3 linked regions of the Rattus norvegicus genome follow. The protein of the gene in region 3 interacts with the protein of the main gene of each other region in a pairwise test. Links are inferred from orthologs where the notes say so. Each region holds a gene or a part of one and is shown on either strand. Other genes may lie near its edges. The genes, in order: Psd4, Mapk8ip3 and Ldlrap1.

Evidence for each region.
Region 1: the proteins of Ldlrap1 (region 3) and Psd4 interact in binary tests that used the Homo sapiens proteins (3 or more experiments, as listed by UniProt). The two-hybrid records come from large-scale screens. The link is inferred for Rattus norvegicus from reciprocal best matches to the Homo sapiens genes LDLRAP1 and PSD4.
Region 2: the proteins of Ldlrap1 (region 3) and Mapk8ip3 interact in binary tests that used the Homo sapiens proteins (3 or more experiments, as listed by UniProt). The two-hybrid records come from large-scale screens. The link is inferred for Rattus norvegicus from reciprocal best matches to the Homo sapiens genes LDLRAP1 and MAPK8IP3.

The regions. Positions count from the first base shown.
Region 1 is NC_086021.1:27,555,870-27,559,519, forward strand, and holds part of Psd4 (PH and SEC7 domain-containing protein 4), read left to right. Parts: intron 1-1,497; exon of another isoform or gene 1,498-1,516; 5' UTR 1,517-1,608; coding exon 1,609-2,523; intron 2,524-3,650. UniProt on the Homo sapiens protein: Guanine nucleotide exchange factor for ARF6 and ARL14/ARF7. Through ARL14 activation, controls the movement of MHC class II-containing vesicles along the actin cytoskeleton in dendritic cells. Involved in membrane recycling.
Region 2 is NC_086028.1:14,438,668-14,442,317, reverse strand, and holds part of Mapk8ip3 (C-Jun-amino-terminal kinase-interacting protein 3), read left to right. Parts: intron 1-102; exon of another isoform or gene 103-229; intron 230-235; exon of another isoform or gene 236-561; coding exon of another isoform or gene 562-702; intron 703-2,179; coding exon 2,180-2,426; intron 2,427-3,145; coding exon 3,146-3,248; intron 3,249-3,650.
Region 3 is NC_086023.1:152,238,720-152,242,117, forward strand, and holds the end of Ldlrap1 (low density lipoprotein receptor adapter protein 1), read right to left. Parts: intron 3,019-3,398; coding exon 2,874-3,018; 3' UTR 577-2,873; downstream 1-576. UniProt on the Homo sapiens protein: Adapter protein (clathrin-associated sorting protein (CLASP)) required for efficient endocytosis of the LDL receptor (LDLR) in polarized cells such as hepatocytes and lymphocytes, but not in non-polarized cells (fibroblasts).

The sequences.
Region 1 (3,650 bases), on a different chromosome or scaffold from region 3:
TGGGAGAGGCTCCAAAGAGGGGGGTGCTAAGGGAGACCAGCTGAGCAGCATCCCCTGCAGCACAGGGGAAGTTCCCTCAGCAGAGAAGGCTGCAGAAGTTGTGCATTAAAAGGTAGGGGGTCTAAAGTCAGACCTGGGCTTCTCTTTCCAGCTCTGAGTCCTTAAGGCTTGGGCTCTGGTTTCCTTGTCTGTGTGACAGAAAGGCAAGAAGTGCACAGTCATCTTCCAGTGCCAGGACGTGTGTGTGCTAGTGAAGAGGAGCTACTTGGGCATAGGTGGATCTGTCATTCTTGTCTGTATGAGATTCAACTCGAGCTGTGGATTGGGAGCTCAGCTCACATGTTCACACGCGCTGTCCCCACATGTGTCTGGAACTTTCAGGCACGCCTACAGTCTTCAAGACAAAATTATAGTAGAAGAAAGTGAGATGTAAGGAAATATTTGATGGAACCAGGGTGTGTTTAATGCTGGAAAGGCATGTATGTCATACATCCTTGTACCTCTGTACTTCCTGGGGCTGGCGCAAGAGGGAAACAGGGTTCATCCTGAATGTCAACATCCAGTAGATTAAAACAAACCAGTCACTAAGAGGAATCAGGGCCATTCTGGCAGCCCTATAAGCTTGTGTTTCACACAGATGGTGGAGAGTCCTGCTTCTCAGCAATATCCCTACATGTTCCTTGGCTACATCTGAGGAGGGCCCACCTCCACTACCACAGGGAATGATTTACCAGAAAGTTTCTTCGCATTCGAAGCCTCGGGTACACGTGGCTACTGCTTTCTTTCTGGTCTCGCCCTCTCTGGAAGTCAAGACTTTCCACTTCATGAAACAAGCACTATGCTTCTTGGTGGAGCAGAGGGCTAGAGCTTGTCCTTCACAAGGCCGAGGGAGTGGGGAACATTGTAGGGCTTCTGCCTTACATTGCACCACTGTGCATAGCACATAAGGAAGCCACTTAATGAGCTGGCCTTGTGAACTGTGCAGGCCTGCAAACAGGACCCATACTCTGAGGGAGAAGGCAGGCTGTGGCCTTGCTCTCCTGGTGCCTGCTGCTCCTGTGAGCTTGCTCCTTTCTCCTTGCCTCTATAGCCTGTGTCTGAGTCTTCACACTCTGGCTTATATGTCTTCCCAGTTCTGCTGCTCTCATGGTGCCCTTAGGTACTCTAGCTGTTCCCGCTACACCTACTTCTGTCTCTCCATTCTCTTAATCCCAAGAGAAAGGCCTGATATCCATGCATTCTTTTTATGCTGAGCCACATTGGAACCCTTTGGCCAGCTGCTGGGTGTCTTTGGAACAAGTGCATACTGATTCCAATTTGAGGTTGTAAGGCCACATGACATGTGTGCTACACCCTTCCTCATAGCAGGACTCACAGGGTAGTAATGTCCCTTAGTAGATGTCCCAGGTGTGGGTTCTGAATGTGTCTAGCACTTTGGACATAGGACTTGAGTGGATTATGGTCCATCTCCTATGCACTCACTTTGTGCATTTACAGGCTAGATGTGGATTTCCAGTTCCTACCTTGGCTTGTGGACCTAATAATTCATGAAATGGGATTGTGAAAACAGGTGCTACCAAGGGCTTCTGCTCAACTGTCACTCTGTGGATGATGGGGGACCACCTCAGACCCATGGAATTTCTCAATATTTGCTTGGAAGACAACCTACAGCCCCATCCAGAAGCATATCCAAGTGAAGTGCATGGCCATCCGGGCCCTTCTGAACCTTGCCAGGAACATACTTGGCCATTTGACCCCCCTGAATCTGCCAGGCCTGATGCTCATCATGGCGACTCTGATGTGGAACCCAGTCACCTGGGAAACCGCCTGGTGCATGGGGAGGCCAGCCAGGCCCCAGCATCATCGAGGTCACTAGAGGACAACAGCTCTCTGGGGAGTCCACAGCAGAACCGGAGCTCATCCACCCAGGTGGTATTCTGGGCTGGCATCCTGCAGGCCCAGATGTGTGTCCTGGACCTGGAGGAGGAGCTAGAGAAAACAGAGGGACTCAAAGCAGGACTCAGATGCTGTATTCCACCGCCCTCTAAGGACTTCCTTGGTGATGTGGGCCTGAAACCCAGTCGGCCCAAGGAGGATGAAGACTCTGGGGATGACAGCAGTGGGTCTGAGGAAGAGAACCAGACCTGGCCAAAGAAGAAAATGCCAGGCTCCTCCCCAGAGTGGGGTGCTGAGGAGGACAGCATCTTCTTTGATAATCCCCTCTTCCTGGAAAGCCCTTGCTCAGACACCAGCACTGAAGGAGAATGCTTTTCCTGGGGCTACCCGAATTCCCACCTAGATATGAAGACCTGGCCTCATAGGCCTCAAACCCTGGATTCTCCTCTCCAAGAAGGCACAGGGCTCTGGACGCAAGAAAATGATCTGGATTTGGGGAGCAACACTGCTGACCATAGTAGGTGCTCCACCCCTCCATTCCCTGTGCCTTCCTATAAGATGCACCCCTGCTTGGCCTTAGGATCCACTGAAGGAGCTCCCATAGTACCTCCTGATCAGGTGGGTGAGGTAAGTTAGCTGAGGAAGCCAGCTGAGGGCTGTGTGGGGACATGACAGGGAGGGCCTCCTCGGGAGGCACAGGACACTGTTTAGAACGTAGCGTTTTGGGAGATCTGAGCTAATAGAACAGCAAACTGACCTGTGTGTGTATGTGTGTGTGTGTGTGTGTGTGTGTGTGTGCGCGCGCGCGCGCGCCAGCTTGGGGACCTGAGTTTGAATCCCTGGAACCCAAATAAAAGCTGGGTTTGTCAATGTACAGCCTGAAACCCAACACTGTAGATAAGAGAGTGGAGCTGGGGATCCCAGGAGCTCAATGGCCATCCAGTCTAGCCAAAGTAGCAAGCCCCAGGTTTAGTAAGAGATACTCCACCTGAAAAAAAGGTGGAGAGCAACAGAGGAGGCCATAACCTCTGTCTTCTACATGTTCAACATGCTCACATAAAAGCAACACACACACACACACACACACACACACACGCAGAGAGAGGGGGGGAGGGAGGCATGAACATATATACAGGCACACACACAGAGACACATAATATTCTCATACACAGATACACATATATAATTACACACACAGATAAACATATATTTTCACACATGCATACACTGATACACACATACACATATATACTCTCACACACAAAGATTGATTAATATAGACTTCAGAATAATGGGACATTTTATCAGTACAATAATGTCATTTAGAACTCAGATGCAAGTGAGGCCAGTAATCTCTCTGTCACCAGCTTCAAGGAGCTAGATAGACTGGCTCGGAGAACAAGCAACCTCTCCCTTCATGGTATTCCAAGAGATTCTGGGATCTTCTCTCCTACCTCCTAGGCATCCCCAAATGTCACAGAGTAACCTAAGCTGACCTTTGTCACACCAGAGAGCTGTCTATTTTAGGAGTCCTGTCCACTCTTTTGAGAGATTTCAACATCTTGTTTCTTTTAGCTCAGGATCCTTCATTTTCCTGTTGTACAGGGTCAGTAGATCAGGCCCTTGTTAGAACAATGACATAGGAGCCTTGATATCAATCAGGGTTTGTCACAAGTTATGTGAGACAGGCAGGGGGACAGTTTTCCCAGAAATTCTCTGCTTTAGAGATAAGAAGAACTCAAATGACAGAAGTC
Region 2 (3,650 bases), on a different chromosome or scaffold from region 3:
TACATTAAGTTCTTTTTATTTCATGTTCCATATTTTAAGGTTTTTCTAATTTCTTAATTTTTGTTTGTTTTTTGTTTTGTTTTTTGTTTCTATATACTGTAGTGTTTTAACCAAACAGTTGTGGCTACTCATGGTGAGGAATGACCGCTAAGAGTGTGGGTTCTTTGCAATACATTTGGAGGTCACTGCTCCCCGTTGATGGTTTAGGAGGTTGAGAGGTTTGCCCTAGGTAAGTGGTGGCCAGGGGGTGTATCCCCTGGGTAAGTGTGGCCCTGTAGGATAACAGAGCCGGGGCACTGGGGGAGGCACAGCCAGAGGGCAGAATGCCCCCATTTTTACCAAAGGGTCACGATAGGCAGCAGACCATGGACACTGAAGGAAGGAGGTGTGAAATAGTGGGACTCATACCCCTGGCTTCTTCCTGGCCTGCTTGGAATTTCTTTTGTGCCCTTTACTGGGTGGCAGCAGCAGACGTCTACATCTGGAAGGTACCTGGATAACTCCAAAGAGAAGCAAACACAAGTCTTTTGAGAGCTACATCTCAAAAGCTCCATGTAAGCCATGCTTGCCTCTTTTGGCACTCACAAGGATATGAAGAAAAAAATGTTTCTCCCTTGTCATACTGGGCAGAAGCTGGATCCAGATACAGAGCTACAATTTTGTTACAGAGTCGTTTCCAAGATGACTGGACTGCATGCTGGTGTAAGGATTCTTGCCTCTGCATTGCTAGCTAGGACTGAATTGTGTTGGCTATGGGCCATTGTGGCCACTGTAAGTTACAGAACAGCATCTTGAGCTCCACTCACTTGATGCCGGGAACACCATCAATTCTGACAAGAGAGTTGTCCTTTGCCAAGCATCCCGTGCACAGTTGTTTATTTAGAAATAAAGCAGTGTGGTAGATAAAGACAGAACCTCGTCCTTTGAAGACATGACAGTCTTCAGTACTGAGGGACTAGTACTACTGCCTGGCAGTGGTCCAGTGAGTTGAGCAAAGGCATCCCCAGAACCAGCTCCGACCTCTGAAAGCCAGGGACAAACTGTTGAGTTCATATCTCGGCATTTACCCAGCTCTGCACAGAGCCATGTACTCCTTTTTCCTCACTGTATCCTGGTGAACATCCTCACCAACAGAACACTGTTCTGAAGGCTGCCCTCTCTCTGGAAGACCCAGGACAGTACATACCTGCGATGTTTAGTTGTTCTCCTTGGCCTTCACAACAAGCAAAGGGATTTGAAGGGCAGCTGTTGCCTGGAGTAACCAGGGCACCTACTCAGTCACATGTCGTACACAACTGTCAATAATAATTAATAGAGGAGCGTTTGGGGCAGTTTTCATTGTGACTGCCTAAAGTTTTATCAGGAAAGAGCCAAGAATGAAATGTGTGCTTCTTGTTTTATACCCTTCAGTTGAGTGCTGGTTTTCCTGTCACAAGATTTATAAGGTTAGCAGCTGGCTTCTCTATGAGCCTGAGTTTCCTCCAGAACAGTTCCCATTTTTTTTTTTTTTCTTTTTTCTTTTTTTCGGAGCTGGGGACCGAACCCAGGGCCTTGCGCTTGCTAGGCAAGCGCTCTACCACTGAGCTAAATCCCCAACCCCAACAGTTCCCATTTTATTAAAGCATAATTTGCATTGCTGTTCAGGGCTAAATTTTGGTTCAGCTGATGTGTGAAAAAAGCATTCAGGATCATAGGAGGTCCCAGCCATAGAATCAGAAACACTGTCCCTCTCTACCACTCTCCTCAGCCAGGGCCAAGCATTTGTGTGCTAGAAGTGGTTAAGAGGGAGTAGTAGTAAAGTGTTTAGTGTATGGCACACCTGGCTACCCAGTGCCAGGTAGCAGCTTCCTTATCCCTGGGTAGAGCCCTTTGCCCCATGCTAGTCTGCCCACAACTGCAAAGGTCACCCACTGTGTCCTCTACCATGTCCTCTGTGTAGCATCACATCAGTCATGATTGTGCTGGGCTATCCTAAGACAGATATAAGCTGAAAATCCCACTCATCATTGTTCAGGAGTAACTAGGCCCAAAGGAGATTCCTGCCTCTACAGGTGGGCACAGTGTTGTTTGTTTGTAACCGTGTAGCAGAGAAACAGAGCCATGGGGCCTCAGCAATGTCTCTAACCATGGCACCATGGCTTACTGTGATGTTCTTCCTTCTTTCTCTGTTTGGCTCTAGTGTCCAAACGATGAGATGTCTGAGTCAGGCCAGTCCTCAGCAGCTGCAACACCCAGTACCACAGGTACCAAATCCAACACACCCACATCCTCCGTGCCCTCAGCAGCTGTCACACCACTCAACGAGAGCCTACAGCCCCTGGGGGACTATGGCAGTGTCACAAAGAACAACAAACGGGCCCGAGAGAAGCGCAACAGCCGTAACATGGAGGTCCAGGTCACCCAAGAGATGCGGAACGTCAGTATTGGTGTGTAGTCTGTCCAGTGCCCCACCTGCCATCCCATCCCTGGTGAGAGGCCATGTACCCGCTGCTCACTGCCTCTCTTGTCCACACCTGAGAGGTGTTTCTTCCTTTTTGGGTTTAGCTTGAACAGATAGAATAACTAAGACTTCTATGGCAAGTACCACAGGTAGGCAGTTTAAATAGCTGTCCAACGTTAGGAGGACAAGGACCAAGGTGCAGGCAGTCTCTCCTGAGGTCTTTCTTGCTGGGCTTACAGAGGACAAACTCCCTGCGTCCTCACAGTATGTCTGTGTTCTAATCTCATAAGGACCCCAGTTGAGTGAGATGAGCCACGTGACCTCGTTTTATTTGATCACTTCCTTAAAGACCAGACTCCAAGCTGGTCAAGGCGGTATACATCTGTAATTCCCAGCTCTTGGGAGGTAGAGGCAGGAGAATTAGGAGTTCAAGACTAGCCTAGGGTGCATGAGATTCAGAGAGAGGGAGACACCCAGTTTTGAAACTTACACTGGCCAGGCCAGGAGTGAGAGCTCCCCTCAGCAGTGCACACCTGTTTGTTACAGGCTTTCCTCCCTAGACTCTGAGAGTTTCCATTCACCTGGGCAGTTGGGGAGAACCCTTTTTTCACAGTCATGTCTAGAAGAAGTGAGTGTAAATTCTGTAGATGTGGGGCAGAAGTTTTCAGGCTGTCTGCTCACACAAGGTTCCTGTGTCTGTACTAGGTATGGGTAGCAGTGACGAGTGGTCCGATGTTCAGGACATTATCGACTCCACCCCAGAGCTGGATGTGTGTCCGGAAACCCGTCTGGACCGCACAGGAAGCAGGTGCTCATTCAGACAGGCTCTAGATGAGGGATTCAGTGTGCTTGGTGGGGTGGGGAGTGGAGAGGTATCATCATATCCCCGTCATGTCTGTACACACATGGCAGGGTCATTAATCATTGGACAGGTATATCAGTCAGCTTCCTTAAATCATCAAGACAGAAGTGACTCGAGCCTTTAGTCAGAGCACTCGGGAGGCAGAGGCAGGCAGTCTCTGTGAGTTCAAGACTATACAGAGAAACCCTGTCTCAAAAAAACCTAAATAAATATAAACAATAGTGATCAGGAGGAGGCGGGTTGGTTTTGATTCACAAGACTAGGAGTTTCAGGGCTTTAGTCTTTGAGCTTGTAGTAACACAGTATATCATGAGGAGGAAAGCATCTGGTGAGAGAACTGCTTACTTC
Region 3 (3,398 bases):
TAAAGGCGTTGGCCAAATTTAAACCGAAAGATGAGCTTGTTGAATGTCTTTTCAAATTATGGGGGAAGAAAAGGAAGAGTTCTGTAGTCTGCTCTGGTCCATGGAGCCTTGTAGGAAATCTGCTCATCGGCTGCCATCCGGAGGCCCCACCTCTGCACACTTGAAGTAAGCCTATTGAACGGCATGAAGGCATCAATGCCTGAGACCCCCCCACAAGCCACAGGAAGAAGTGGCTGGGGGAGTCCCCAGACAGAAGCCTGTGGAACGTGAGGAATGTGGCCTTGCTCAATGGTCACTGAGAGTCTGGGTAGGACATGAGCGCCTGGATCACGGCCATCTCTTGGGAAATCCCTACATAGCAGGGTGAGGGTTGGAGATCTAAGATGGGGCGGGGGCGGTGGCCTTACCAGGCACTCGGGGGAGGACTGCTCTCCCCATGTGAGCATGATGCCCCAGGCAGTAGGTATCAGATGACATCTGTAAGTCAGCTGGCACACAGAAGTACACTCAGAGTGGCAGGCACTGTCCAGGAGTCCACTAGGACTTTACACATTCGATCTAAATGACCTTTTGGTCTGAGAAAACCTTTGAGCCACTGGATAGGTACTGCCAATCATGTGTTAAAGGGCAATGGTCTCATAAAACCCCAGGAACATAGGCACAGGAGACTGCTGTACCCTGTTTACAGACAGGAAAACTGAGGCTCAAGGAAATAGGTAACTGACCCATAGCAGTAGCTGGACTTTGGATGTCTTAAGTCACAGGACTCCACCCACCCATTCCTTTGCCTCTGTCCCCCTTCAACACAAAGCCACACAACTTGAATTCAAATTCCTAGCACGGAGCCCTGGTCCAAACTTGAGTAGCAGAGTAAACCTAAAAGTCTGAGTCACTGGAGAGGCATGGGGATACCACCAGCCCTGGGAAGGGGTACACATGGGCACACTCACTCTCACACTCGTGTCTCAGGGGTTCAGGCCTGACTAGAACACACAGTTAGAAACAGTGAGCGCTTATGTGCTGGCCCACTGGCGGGGTCTCACATCACCCAACAGCGACCTTGTCACAATGGCAGTCTACAGAGAAAGAAAGGTACCCTGCTGGCCCACCAACTGGGGACCTGCCATCACCCTCCATTCTGGTGCAGCAGCCTACCCCAGTCTCTTGACATAACTGCTGCCCCCATCACGGAGGGCAGAAGCCATGACGACCCTGCCCTTTGTCACCCGCAGCACCCCAGGCGGTGCTCACACTTAGAAAGAGAACATTTATTGTTTCCTACTCAGAAGCCCCAGCCTCACACAGCAGCACCGGCAGCAAGCACAGTAGCCCCCCTTGCGCCCGGACCCCCGCCGCCTGGGCTGGGAGCAGGCCCCGGAGCTGGCCGGAAAGGGAGCTAGCAACCTTTATTCTAGCCGGAATTCTCCAAGTGCCCTCCCCAAGGCACGGGTTTGACTCAGCCACTCAGGAAGAGTGTGTTTTTCCCGGGGATACTGAGACCTGCTTTCACAAGCCCGGCCGGCCACTGGGGGCTCCTTGGGATGGAAAGATGGTTGTGATTTGGCTGTGGTTCAGGATGCCAGAGCCTGCGTAACAGCGAAGGGAGAAAAGAGAGACTAAGGGAAGCTCACCACTGGACCTCCCAACCACCACCAGCTAGGGCTGAGGGACCTCTAAGGCTGCAGGTCAGGAAAGGACAGCGAGGTGTTTCTAGAGCAGGATTCTGTTTCACCCAGGGAATTAACAGACTTCCAAACACATCTGCACAGAAGTCAGCCACGTAGCAGCTAGCAGGGCATGGCGGCCTGCGCCAGCGCTGTGTGGAAAGGCACCAGACGGTTTGTTATGAAACACATTTTGGTCAGAAAATAGCTGGGGCGTTCTGGTTCCTGGGAGGACAACAAAGCCGGAGAGAAAGAGGCGTGGGCTGCAAGGCGGCAGCACAGACGGCAGCTTTGGTATCAGATCTGGGTTCTATTCTCAACTCCACCGCCCCCCACCCCAACGTGTTGCCTCAGTTTCTTTATCTGTAAAATGGATGCAAAATATCCTGCCACAACCTAGTACCAGGCTTCGGTATCGTCCCAGGAGTTATGGGGAGGCAGAAAACGGAGCACGCACAGGGACATACAGACAAGACAGAAGAGCAGGCCCAGCTTTGTCTGTTTTGGGGGCTCCCAGGAGCCACAAAGGAGATCCCTATGGTTGCAGTGACTCTGGAGTCGTAGTCAGCTGGTACACTAGGTCCTAGCACTATGTGGACCATGTCAGGGACTGGGGCCCTCTTGTGGAGGGAGGGCAGGAAGCAAACTCTACTCCTAGAGCACCATCACGGACCTCGAACCACGTCCATTACGTCCATTACGTGAGAGTTAAAGTGCAGATTAAATGTCTTTGGTCAGGGGCTGCCTCTTTGAAAGCCTCAGCTTCTCAGCCCTGAGGAAGCCGAGCTTGAGGACCCCGACTTTCCTGAAAGCCATGTCCCATCCAGCACACAAAGAACGACAGGCTCCTACTGCTTCAGGAGTAAGGATGCCCCAGAGAAGAGGAACAAGCAACACTTTGGTCATTGTCTGGACACCCACAGCGGGGATACTGGCTCCAGGAGAGAGGCCAGGAGGCCAGCCCTGCCCTGCACACACCATGAGCACCTGAATTGAACCTGGTTTCCGAGCATAAACCAGGAGTCATCAACCAGATACCCCAGGCATCTTTCTAACCCCTCTCCCTGCGTGACTGTGCAACTCAAATCTGCAGGCTCTGACGCCACTGGCCAAAGGCAGCTGATGGCTCCTGGGGCTGGTTGTCCTGCTGCAGGTGGCTGGTGGTCCACCACATGGCTAGGCCAGCCGTGTACTGCCAGCCTCAGGCCCTCAGAAGCTGAAGACGTCGTCTTGATCAAAGCCACTGCTGTCAGGCTTGTCCCAGTCAGTGGGCGATAAGCACTGTGCGTAATGGATATCCTGTGCTGTCAGTCCAGTGTCCAGGACTTGAGGGTTTGTCCGTGACTGCGCCAGCCTGGAAGGCAAAGCTGCGTAAGCCAAGCATCAGGTGAGGGGCTAGCAGGGGCTAAGGACAGGGGTAGCCTGGACAGCACTGGGCCCGAAGGGAGGCCATGAGTCGGGAAATGGCTGGACTCAAAGATTAGCCAAGGAGGTAAAGCCCCTGACAACAGGATGCGCAAGAGAGTCAGAGCACTGGGGCAGGCCACAGAACCCTGCTCTAACAGAGCCCAGGTATCTACCAAGCAGTTGTAGGCAGAGAATGTTCAGCCATGAGAAGACTTGGCGAGAACACAAGGAGACATTACTGATTTGTTTGTTCCATCTGCCTTACTGTCCAGTGGAACCTGGAGAGGTCAGTGGTGAGGTAGCTCTGTCCTCAGGAGGGGATCCTGG